Linked DNA regions of Anolis sagrei. The protein of the gene in region 1 interacts with the protein of each later gene in a pairwise test. Links are inferred from orthologs where the notes say so. Each region holds a gene or a part of one and is shown in the gene's direction. Other genes may lie near its edges.

Evidence for each region.
Region 2: the proteins of CIB3 (region 1) and ENOX2 interact in binary tests that used the Homo sapiens proteins (3 or more experiments, as listed by UniProt). The two-hybrid records come from large-scale screens. The link is inferred for Anolis sagrei from reciprocal best matches to the Homo sapiens genes CIB3 and ENOX2.
Region 3: the proteins of CIB3 (region 1) and TACC3 interact in binary tests that used the Homo sapiens proteins (3 or more experiments, as listed by UniProt). The two-hybrid records come from large-scale screens. The link is inferred for Anolis sagrei from reciprocal best matches to the Homo sapiens genes CIB3 and TACC3.

What each region holds. Positions count from the first base shown.
Region 1 is NC_090026.1:134,132,273-134,136,019, reverse strand, and holds the start of CIB3 (calcium and integrin-binding family member 3), read left to right. Parts: upstream 1-1,524; 5' UTR 1,525-1,582; coding exon 1,583-1,633; intron 1,634-1,735; coding exon 1,736-1,770; intron 1,771-3,747. UniProt on the Homo sapiens protein: Acts a an auxiliary subunit of the sensory mechanoelectrical transduction (MET) channel in hair cells. Plays a role in regulating hair cell MET channel localization and function.
Region 2 is NC_090030.1:10,444,095-10,447,841, reverse strand, and holds the start of ENOX2 (ecto-NOX disulfide-thiol exchanger 2), read left to right. Parts: upstream 1-1,236; 5' UTR 1,237-1,304; coding exon 1,305-1,347; intron 1,348-3,747. UniProt on the Homo sapiens protein: May be involved in cell growth. Probably acts as a terminal oxidase of plasma electron transport from cytosolic NAD(P)H via hydroquinones to acceptors at the cell surface.
Region 3 is NC_090023.1:142,939,041-142,942,787, reverse strand, and holds the start of TACC3 (transforming acidic coiled-coil-containing protein 3), read left to right. Parts: upstream 1-786; 5' UTR 787-895; exon of another isoform or gene 896-899; intron 900-3,747. UniProt on the Homo sapiens protein: Plays a role in the microtubule-dependent coupling of the nucleus and the centrosome. Involved in the processes that regulate centrosome-mediated interkinetic nuclear migration (INM) of neural progenitors.

The sequences.
Region 1 (3,747 bases):
CACCCCTGACAGATGGCCATCCAGCCTCTGTTTCAAAGCCTCCAAAGAAGGAGCCTCCACCACACTCCCTCCGGGGCAGAGAGTTCTACCAAGAAGCAAGACAATCGCGTTCAAAGCACTCCCAACAGATGGCCATCCAGCCTCTGCTTCAAAGCCTCAAAAGAAGGAGCCTGCACCACACTCCGGGGCAGAGAGTTCCACTGCTGAACAGCTCTCATAGTCAGGAAGTTCTCCCTCAGGTTCAGGTGGAATCTCCTTTCTTTCCTGTAGTTGGGAGCTGTTTTGGTACAGCGGAACAGGGGCTCCAATTTTATTTGCTTTGAACTAAAGGTTTGTTTGCAATCCCAGGCTTGGGATTTTGCAGCAGGGTGGCTTCCTGTTATAGTCTGCAGACATAGGGCAAGCCCCCTGCCCATCTTCATTTAGCTTTGCTTCCACCCTTTGGTCTGGGCTTTGGGAAAGGAGAGGAACCATTTTGGTCAGTCACGCACAAGGAAGCCAGTCTATAGGACGCAGATCAGCTTGTCCCGAAGGAAAGGCTTCATTCCTCAAAGCCATCCGGGGATCATCCAGAGGTGATCCGGGGTCCATCCAGTGACCACCCAGGGGTCATCCAGTGACCATCCAGTTCCAGGGAAACAGAAGGAAAAGGTCCCAAAGGCTCTGGCTGAGAGCTCACAGCCTCACAGCCTCACAGCACCAGAGGGGAAAACAGCCCTGAAGTTCCCACAGGACATTCCTACAGAATCACGGAATTCCAAGATCCTCAAGCCTTGGCTGGTAGGTTTACTGGATGTCCAGACGCAGTTGGGATCGGTAGTAAGACCCAGACCAGCAAGACCCAGATGATAGACAGCCTGGGAGAGATTATAAAGGGTTCTTCCTCATGTTGAGATAGTACAGTTAATCCAAGTCAGTGCCAGTCTCTTAAAGACTAGAACAAGAAAGCCTTGAAGTGTTGTTTGAAGATTTGTTCCTTAAGAAAGACTTTGTTATACCTTTAAAGAACTCTAAAGCCCATTCCTTCTGGAAGTCTCTAACAATCTCTCTTGGGGCACCCCGGCTTCCCACTGGGTTTAAAGTGTGCGTCCTATAGAAGAAAGGCATTTTGTTGGGACCCAGTGGCGACAGAAGAGGAGCCATTCCTCCTCCGCGTCCTCGTCTCTCTCCAGGGCGGCAGAAGGGAAGCTTTCTCCCTCTGAGGTTTGTCTCAGACTCGCTGGCGGTCGGACCTCGGTTTCCTTCCTCTCCGTTGGGTGGTTCTTCTTGTGGAGGGAGGCCTTTGCCATGGGAACTGCTCTCCTGCCTCCTTCCTTCCTTCCTTCCGTGTGGCATCTCCTGCTCGCCCTGCACACCTGCTGCCAGAAGGAGGGGGAGGGGGAGGGGGGAGGGATTCGGGAGGAAGAGCGCTCTCTCTCTCTCTCTCTCTGTCTGTCTCTCGGCCCTCCTCCCCTTCCTCTCCCCTCACCCCCCCCCCGGGCCCCATGAAGCGACACCGGATCCCCTCCCGCCCCGCGGAGCCCCCCTCCCTCCCTCTCTCCCTCCCAGGTCCGTCCCGGGAGACGACGGGAGCCATGAGAGGATGGGCAACAAGCAGACCGTCTTCACGCCGGAGCAGCTCGACGCCTACCAGGTGGGGGGAGTGGGGGGGGGGAGGGCGTGGGGAGGGGGAGGGGAGGGGGCGCCCAGCCTGCCTTGCCCTGACTTGCCCTTCCCTTCCCTTCTTTGCCTGCAGGATGCGACCTTCTTCACCAGGAAAGAGATCCTGAGGTGAGAGCGGAGCCTTCCTTCCCCCCTCCCTCCCGAAATGCCAAAGCCTGTTTGGGGAGGGGGGGTAAGAGATGAGGGTAGGGGTCGGGCAGGGAGGGAGGGAGGGAGAGCCTGCTTGGGGTGGCCCCTCCGCCCGCGAGCGAGGAGAAGCGCAGGATCCACGGAGGTTCAACCCGAGGTCGCGAACCCAGGCCGGGGCTCTTGAACCAGGCTTCCCCCCCCCCCCCCATTCCCTTGGGAGTTCGGGGAGGGGGGGGCTGCGGGGCGGGGGGGGGGGCAGGGAGCCCCTGGAGGGCTTGGGAAGGGTCTTCAAGGGGCCCAAGGCGGTGCTGGGGCCGGGGCCAGTCTTCCCGGCGGGCCCCCCCTCTCTCTCTCCCTCCGCCCCTGAAACCCAATCCTGGCCATGTTTTGATGTCTGGAAGCCAAGCCAAGAGCATAATTGTATCATGAATAACCAAGCTTTGCATTATTGATGGGCAGCAGCCCTGGCCAAACTTCGGACGCTTTGTCCTCGCCCACTGCCCTGATGACAGCCACGGGGGAAGGGGGGGCAGAGTGGGTTCACAAGCAGAGAGGTGGGGGGGCTTGGCCAGGGAACCAAAGCAGAGGAGGAGACCCCCCCCCCCAAAAAAAACCCTCTACCCTGCCCCACACAGGGAGCCCCACTTTCCCTGTCTGTATCTCTAGGCATAGATCAGGCTTGGGCCAACTTGGGCCCTCCCTCCCTCTTTCCACGTGTTTTGGATTCCAACACCCATCATTCCTCCCAGCCTCAGCCCCCTTCCTTTCCCCCCTCAGTTTATGCTGATGCGTCTGAGGGAAGGAAAGGGCCTGAGGCTGGGGAGAAGGGTGGGAGTTGCCCCTGCCAGGCATAGGTTCAGGGTTTGGAAAGAAGTGATGAGCAGAGTGCCACAAGCAGGGTTCCCCCCTGGGCCCGGTCCTGTTCAACATCTTGATTCATGACTCTTAGATGAAGGGCGAGAAGGCAGGATCATCAAGTTTGCAGACGGGACCAAATTGGGAGGGATAGCCAATAGTCCAAAGGACAGGAGCAGGACTCAAAGCAATCTTGACAGATTCGAGAGATGAAGGGCCAAAACTAACAAAATGAAGTTCAAGAGGGACAAATGCAAGAGACTCCACTTTGGCAGGAAAAATGAAATGCAAAGATACAGAATGGGGGACAATGAGCCCTGGCTCGAGAGCAGGACGTGTGGAAAAGATCTTGGAGTCCTCGTGGAGAGAAAGGGGAACATGAGCCAGGAATGTGATGTGGTGGCAAAAAAAGCCAATGGGATTTCGGCCTGCATCAAGAGGAGCCTAGTGTCTAGATCCAGGGAAGTCATGCTCCCCATGCTCTCTTCCGCTTTGGTTAGACCACTTTACCTGGAATACTGTGTCCAATTCTGGGCACCACAATTCAAGAGAGATATTGACTCTAAGCTGGAATGTGTCCAGAGAAAGAGGGCGACTAAAATGATCAAGGGTCTGGAGAACAAGCCCTATGAGGAGTGGCTTAAGGAGCTGGGCATGTTTAGCCTGAAGAAGAGAAGGCAGAGAGGAGATATGATGAGAGCCATATATATATGTGAGAGAGAGCCACAGGGAGGAGGAGGGAGCAAGCTTGTTTTCTGCTTCCTTGGAGACTAGGACACGAAACAATGGCCTCAAACTACAAGAGAGGAGATTCCATCTGAACATGAGGAAGAACTTCCAGACTGTGAAAGCCGTTCAGCAGTGGAACTCTCTGCCCCAGAGGGAGTGTGGTGGAGGCTCCTTCCTTCTTTGGAAGCTTTTAAACAGAGGCTGGATGGCCATCTGTCAGGGGCAGGCCCGTAGCCAGGATTTCGTTTCGGGGGGGGCTAAAAAATTTTCAGCGGGGGTTTCGGGGGGGGGCTGAGTTTCGGGGGGGGGGGCTGAGTCTGAGTGAAAGAGGGTCTAGCCTACCAAACCTTTTGTATCATTACCCCAATACCC
Region 2 (3,747 bases), on another chromosome or scaffold:
TATGCTGTCTCCAGGTTGGTTCACCAAGTGCTCTGCTATGGCTGACTTCTCTGGGTGAATTAGTCAGTAATAATAATATTTATTTATTCGATCAGTCATATGACCATTTCAAAATAGAACACTAGTTTTATTCTGAAAGCTATTAAGAAAAGAGCTGATTTCCTGAAAGAAGAACCAGGAAAATAAGATTCTGACTATAAATAGAATTAGTCTGTAATGCCATTCATGTTCCTTGCTGGCCAGTTGCAACACTCCCACTTGCTCCCCAGGCAGCAATCAGCCAGGCTTTGAAGCTGCAAGGCCATTTAATGCTAATCAAGGTGGTCAATTGCAACATTCACGCTTGTCTCAAGCAGACAAGAGTTATTTCTGCCAACCTGGACATTATTCCACAGATATATAAACACTAAAAAAAACAGGGGAATTCCATAAAAGAGTAAATCAGGGCCAGCTAGCACTTCTCACAACAAAGGATTCCCCCAGGCAGGAAACAGCCAGGCTTTGAAGCTGCAAGGCCATTCATTGCTAATCAAGGTGGTCAATTGCAACATTCACGCTTGTCTCAAGCAGACAAGAGTTCTTTCTCCCACATTAGACATTATTCCACAGATCAATACTAAAAAAACAGGGAAATTCCAGACAAGAAGCAATCAGGGCCAACTAATCACCTTCCAACAAAGGATTCCCCCAGGCAGGAAACAGCCAGGCTTTGAATCTGCAAGGCCATTCAATGCTAATCAAGGTGGCCAGTTGCAACATTCACACTTGCCTCAAGCAGACAAGAGTTCTTTCTCCCACCCTGGACATTATTCCACAGATATATAAACACTAAAAAAAACCAGGGGAATTCCATAGAAGAGTCAATCAGGGCCAGCTAGCACCTCTCACAACAAAGGATTCTCCCAGGCAGCAACCAGCCAGGTTTTGAAGCTGCAAGGCCGTTCAATGTGAATCAAGTAGGCTAAGAGTTCTTTCACCCACCCTGGACATCATTCCACAGATATATAAACCCAGTTTTCCTTGTTTCCAGCAGACCTCACAACCTCTGAGGATGCCTGCCATAAATGTGGCCGAAATGTCAGGAGAGAATGCTTTTGGAGCATGGCCAGGCAGCCCACAAAACTCCCAGCAACCCAATCAAAGGGCTGTTGCAATCACTTCCTCCTAAGTCCACGCCCGTAACACAAACCATCCAATGAGGCGCGGGGGGCGGGGCTTGGGAAGGGAGGGGCGGGGCCTGCGAGGCGGCGGAGGCCTCCTAAGGCCGCGGCGGTGGCGGGGCAAAGCCGAGGCCGGGGGAGCGGATGTATCCGGAGTTCCGTCGCCGGAGGGCCGCGGGCCCAGCAGGTGGGGCGTCGCTAGGCAACGGAGCCAGCCTCTCCCCGCCCCTCAGGCCTTTGCGCTCCCCCTCGCTTTGGTTGCCATGGAGACCGGAAGCGGCCTAGCCAGCCTCTCTCATCCAGCCCTAAAGTTGTGATGCCAGAGCGTTAGAGCCGCTGGGGCTGGAGCCTGAATGACTCCTTCCTCCAGTGCACCTTAACCAGAAGTTATCTCTATCTATCTATCTATCTATCTATCAATCTATCAAAAGTATGCCTGCTTGGACCACAGGTGAAGTGGCCCTCCGACGTCACTGGGTTGGCTGTTGCCAGGTTAAGTGGCCCTCTGATGTCAGGGAGAAAGAAAGGAAGGGAAGTAACTTGTAAAAGGGAGAAAAGAAGGAAAGAGACGTGGTGAGATAGGCCCCTCAGAGCTGGAGAAGGGAGGAAGGAAAGAAGGAAGGAAGGGGGGAAAGAAAGAAGGGATGAAAATAGTCCAGAGGACAGGAGCAGAATTCAAAACGATCTTGACAGATTAGAGAGATGGGCCAAAACTAACAAAATGAAGTTCAACAGTGACAAATGCAAGATACTCCACTTTGGCAGAAAAAATGAAATGCAAAGATACAGAATGGGTGACGCCTGGCTCGAGAGCAGTACGTGTGAAAAAGATCTTGGAGTCCTCGTGGACAACAAGTTAAACATGAGCCAACAATGTGATGTGGCGGCAAAAAAAGCCAATGGGATTTTGGCCTGCATCAATAGGAGCATAGTGTCTAGATCTAGGGAAGTCATGCTCCCCATGCTCTATTCTGCTTTAGTTAGACCACACCTGGAATATTGTGTCCAATTTTGGGCACCACAATTCAAGAGAGATATTGACTCTAAGCTGGAATGTGTCCAGAGGGGGCGACTAAAATGATCAAGGGTCTGGAGAACAAGCCCTATGAGGAGCGGCTTAGGGAACTGGGCATGTTTAGCATGAAGAAGAGAAGGCTGAGAGGAGATCTGATAGCCATGTATAAATATGTGAGAGGAAGCCACAGGGAGGAGGGAGCAAGCTTGTTTTCTGCTTCCTTGGAGACTAGGATGTGGAACAATGGCTTCAAACTACAAGAAAGGAGATTCTATCTGAACATTAGGAAGAACTTCCTGACTGTGAGAGCCGTTCAGCAGTGGAACTCTCTGCCCCGGAGTGTGGTGGAGGCTCCTTCTTTGGAAGCTTTTAAACAGAGGCTGGATGGCCATCTGTCAGGGGTGATTTGAATGCAATATTCCTTCTTGGCAGGGGGTTGGACTGGATGGCCCATGAGGTCTCTTCCAACTCTTTGATTCTATGATTCTATGAAAACAGCATTGCTTGATTATTATTATTATTATTATTATAACTTTATTTGTACCCCGCTAGCATCTCCCAAGGGATTCGATGCAGCTTACAACAGGCCCAACACAATACAACAATACAATACATAGCAAATAAAGCAGTTAAAGCAGAAGACAATAGCAATAGCAATACAACAGGACATTATTAAAAACTGAGCCGGCCGGAGTAGGGTACAGGATTAAAAAGTGCTGAAGTGTCGGAGGGATATGGGATTAGAATATAAGTGCAGTGTGCGGTGAGGGTGATCTTGACTCTACTAAAGTGCTTCTGGGCTTTGGTGGTGGGGTTCCTAATCTGAGAAGGCACGTTGGAACAGCCAGGTTTTCAGGTTCTTTCTTTTTTTTAAAATGATTTTTATTAAGTATTTTCAGGTTCTTTCTGAAAACCGCCAAAGTAGGGGCCTGTCTGAGATCTTTCGGGAGGGCATTCCAGAGGCGGGGGGCCACCACAGAGAAGGCCCTGTCCCGCGTCCCCACCAAACGCGCCTGCGACGCGAGCGGGATCACGAGCAGGGCCTCTCCTGATGACCGGAGTGAACATGTGGGTTCGTAGACTGTGATGCGGTCACGCAGGTAGGGTGGTCCCAAACCGTTCAGGGCTTTGTAGGTAAGCACCTGCACCTTAAATTGGGCTCGGAAAATAAACGGCAGCCAGTGGAGCTCCTTAAACAGAAGGGTTGACCTCTCTCTGTAATGGGCCCCCATTAACATCCTGGCTGCTGCCCGTTGGATCAATTGGAATTTCCGAGCCGTTTTCAAGGGCAGCCCCACGTAGAGCGCATTGCAGTAATCCAGTCTAGAGGTGACTAAGGCATGGACCACCCCGGCCAGATCAGCCTTAGCGAGGCCTATTTCACTCCAAAAATACAGTGTATATTCGAGTATAAGCCTAGTTTCTCAGCCCCTTTTTTAGGCTGAAAAAGCTCCCCTCGGCTTATACTCGAATCAAGGTTATTTATTATTTTATTCAGTTATTAATATTATTTTTATTTCTTGTATTATTTTACTTTCTTTATTATTATTACATTTACAGTATTTTACCCTA
Region 3 (3,747 bases), on another chromosome or scaffold:
AGAGCTCCCTGTCGGCCGTCACCACCCCCAGCTCCTTCAAGGTCAGTCCAGTCACTTCAAGGATGTCATCCATCCATCTTGCCCTTGGTCAGCCCCTCTTCCTTTTGCCTTCCACTTTCCCCAGCATCATTGTCTTCTCTAGGCTTTGCTGTCTCCTCATGATGTGGCCAAAGCACTTCATCTTTGCTTCTAATATCCTTCCCTCCAATGAGCAGTCGGGCTTTATTTCCTGGAGGATGGACTGGTTGGATCTTCTCGCAGTTCAAGGCACTCTCAGAACTTTCCTCCAACACCACAGCTCAAAAGCATCTATCTTCCTTCGCTCAGCCTTCCCTAAGGTCCAGCTCTCACATCCGTAGGCCATACAGCCTGAAAAAACCTACAACAACCCAATGTTTTAAAAAGTTTGGAGGTGGGGAGAAATGTTATTTGGAATTCAGGTGCCATCATCCTTGATCATTGGCCAAGGCTTCTGGGAGTAGAAGTTCACAAAACTCATGCAGCAGAATATGGGAATCAATGGTTCAGGATATTCAGGCCCTGCTGTGTAACTCAATTCCGGATCCATTTGAGCCTTAATAATAATAAAACCATTCTCAGGGTTCAATCTCTTTGGATCCAGCGAAAAACTCGAAAATTTGCCAAGGAACGCCTCTCCAAGGAGTAGTCCAAGTATACGCATGCGTAGCCAGTCACTCTCGGTCGCCTCTGCTTGAGGCTCCGAGGCGAGCCGCTGAGCCGTCACGTGATTTCTGACGTAACCCATCACGCTGTCTTTTCATTGGTAGAGACAGAAACCGTTAAGATTTGAACCGGGCGAGGCGTTGAGTTAGAGGTGATACCTCAGAGTTGGTGGCAGTAGCAGAAACGTCGGTGGGGCGTCCTCGGAAGCCAAGTAGGTAAATAGGGAGGGAAGGGGGGAGGGAAGGGAGCGGAGGCGAGAGGCCCGGGACTCGGAGGGAGCCCGGAACCCGCTTACCCAAGGCATTCCTGCTCCTGAGCGCCCACCCCGCCCCCTCCCTCCTGAAAACCCTTAGTCCACGCTCTGTTAGTGCCTCGTTTGCTCCTTTGCATCAAGATTTTCACTGTTTCTTATGATATTAAGTTGCTAGTACTGTCTGATAACTCTTCAGGTCTGTTGCGTTTGGAGAATTCCAGCCCATTAAACCTAGGTGACAAAACAAAAATAGGACAATAGACTCTTAGATTGGAAGAGACCACAAGGGCCATACATTCCACACCCCCCCCCCCAAAAAAAATGGAGAAAAAACACAACCAAAGCATTCCCAACAGATGGCCATCCAGCCTCTGCTTAAAAATTTCTAGAGCAGGAGATTTATTTATTTATTTATGACATGTATATGCTGCCCTTATCATCCCAAACCTGAAGACCCAACAGGTCACAGGTTCGAATCTGGGGAGAGCGTGGATGAGCTCCCTCTATCAGCTCCAGCTCCTCATGCAGGAACATGAAAGAAGCCTCACACAAGGATGGTACAACATCAAAACATCTGGGCTTCCCCTGGGAAACGTTCTTGCAGATGGCCAATTCTCTCACACCAGAAGCGACTTGCAGTTTCTCAAATCAGTCCTGACACGACAAACAAAAAATCACCCCAAAGGGGACTCAGAGCTTCTTACAAGATTATATTATTTTGTATTATTAGCATTGCACAATATCAATATTATATATTACTATATTGTACTATTTGTCATTTAATTATTATTATTTATTTCATGCATTTCTACCCTGCCCTTCTCCCCCCCCCCCCCCCGAAGGGGGACTGAGGGCGACCTCACACAGCATCATATGGTGCTATCAACATATAAACAATCAAAAATTACATTTAAAACATTAATAACCATTAAAAACTCATTATATAATTCATTAAACAATAAATTAACATACCAATTAAAATTATACCATTATATTGTAATATTATTAGTGATATTACATCTACGTTCGTTTGTGGGATTAACATAACACAAAAACCGCTGGAGGAATGGACACCAAATTTGGACACAAGACACCTAACAACCCAATGTATGTCCTTCACTCACAAAAACACTAAAAAAACACAGCAGAAGGGACTTAAAAAGCCCCCAAAAGCTAAATGACAATACAGAAAAAAGGAAGAAAGAGGGAGGGAAGGGGAGGAGAAAGAAAGAAGGAAAGGGAGAAGGAAGGAAAGAGGTAGAGAAGGAAGAAAGGAGAGAAAGAGGAAGTGAAAGAAAAATGGGGAAGGAAGGAAAGTTAGGGAAGGAAGGAAGGAGAGATGGAAAGAAGGAAGGAAAGAGGGAGCGAAGGGGGGAAGATGTAGAGAAAGAGGGAGGGAAGAAAAGAGAGAAGGAAGAAAAGAGACAGCAGAAAAGAAAGAAAAAGGGGGAAGGAAGGAAAGAGGGAGGGAAGGAAGGAGGGAGGGAAAGAAGAAGAGAAAGAGGGAAGATTGGCCACAGCAACGTGTGGCGGGTACAGCTAGTGTAATATAAAATATATAATTATATCGTATTAGTATTGTATTACATTATAGTATTATAAAGGTCTTCCTAATGTTTAGGTGAAATCTCTTTTCCTCCAATTTGAATTGATTGTTCTGTGCCCGAGTCTCTAAATCAATAGAAAATAAGGTTGCCCCCTCCCAAATGTGCCCCCCCTTTCAGATATTTAAAAATGGCTATCATGTCCCCTCTCAGCCCCTGATGTGGGAGGGCTGATTCCCAGAACAAGTCCATACCTTGAGAAGTGATCTGGCCACCGTGGTCCATGCCCTTGTCACATCTAGACTGGATTGCTATAGGGCTGCCCTTAAGGACTGTTAGGAAGCTTCAGCTGGTTCAAAGATCTGTGACCAGGCTGCTTACTGGAGCGCCTTTCAAGGAGCAGTCAACCCCACTGTTGTGGCATCTCCACTGGTTACCAGTTTTCTACCAAGTGCAATTCCAGGTGCTGGTTTTAAACTTTAAAGCCCTGAACGGTTCAGGGCCAAACTATCCAACCACATCTCCCAATATGAGCCTGCCCGAGCCCTACGATCTGCTGGGGAGGCCCTGCTCTCGGTCCTACCATCATCTCAGGTGTGGTTGGTGGATACCAAGGAGAGGGCCTTCTTGACAGTGGTTCCTAGACTCTGGAACTCCCTCCCTAAGGATATCTGAATCCCCCCACCCTGCTTTCTTTCAGAAAGCAAATAAAAAAAAATTCCTCTGGAAGGAAGCTTTTGTGGAAGGCAATGAGCAAGCATGTTAAATGACAGTGGATTTTGACATTATGGCAACAAGTTGGAGCTAGTTTTTAATTATAGCTGGTTTTAATTATTGTTTTATTATGTACTGTAGTTTTATATGATGTGTTAAAATGTTTAGAACTGTGATTTATATTTATTTTCAGTTTTTGTATTGTCTTAGATTCGTATGGTATCAAATTGCTGTGGAGTGTTAGCCGCTCTGAGTCCCTCAATGAGAGAGAAAGGGCAGGGTATAAAACAGAGTAAATATAAGTTAAAAAAAGTTGCCAGGCCAGGTGATGTCTTAAGGATATGGTCTTGCCCAAGCCTGACACTCCTTTAATGTTACCAAGCTCCATTTGTTCAATGACTCCATCCCATATGCTTCTTTCTGCATGGGAATGCCTTTGTTATCTAAGACTGGACAGAACCATAGATTGAAAGCCATCTAGGCCAACCCACTGGTATGAAGGAATACACAATTGCTTTATCCCATGTTTCTCATAAAGTGGGATTTCACACC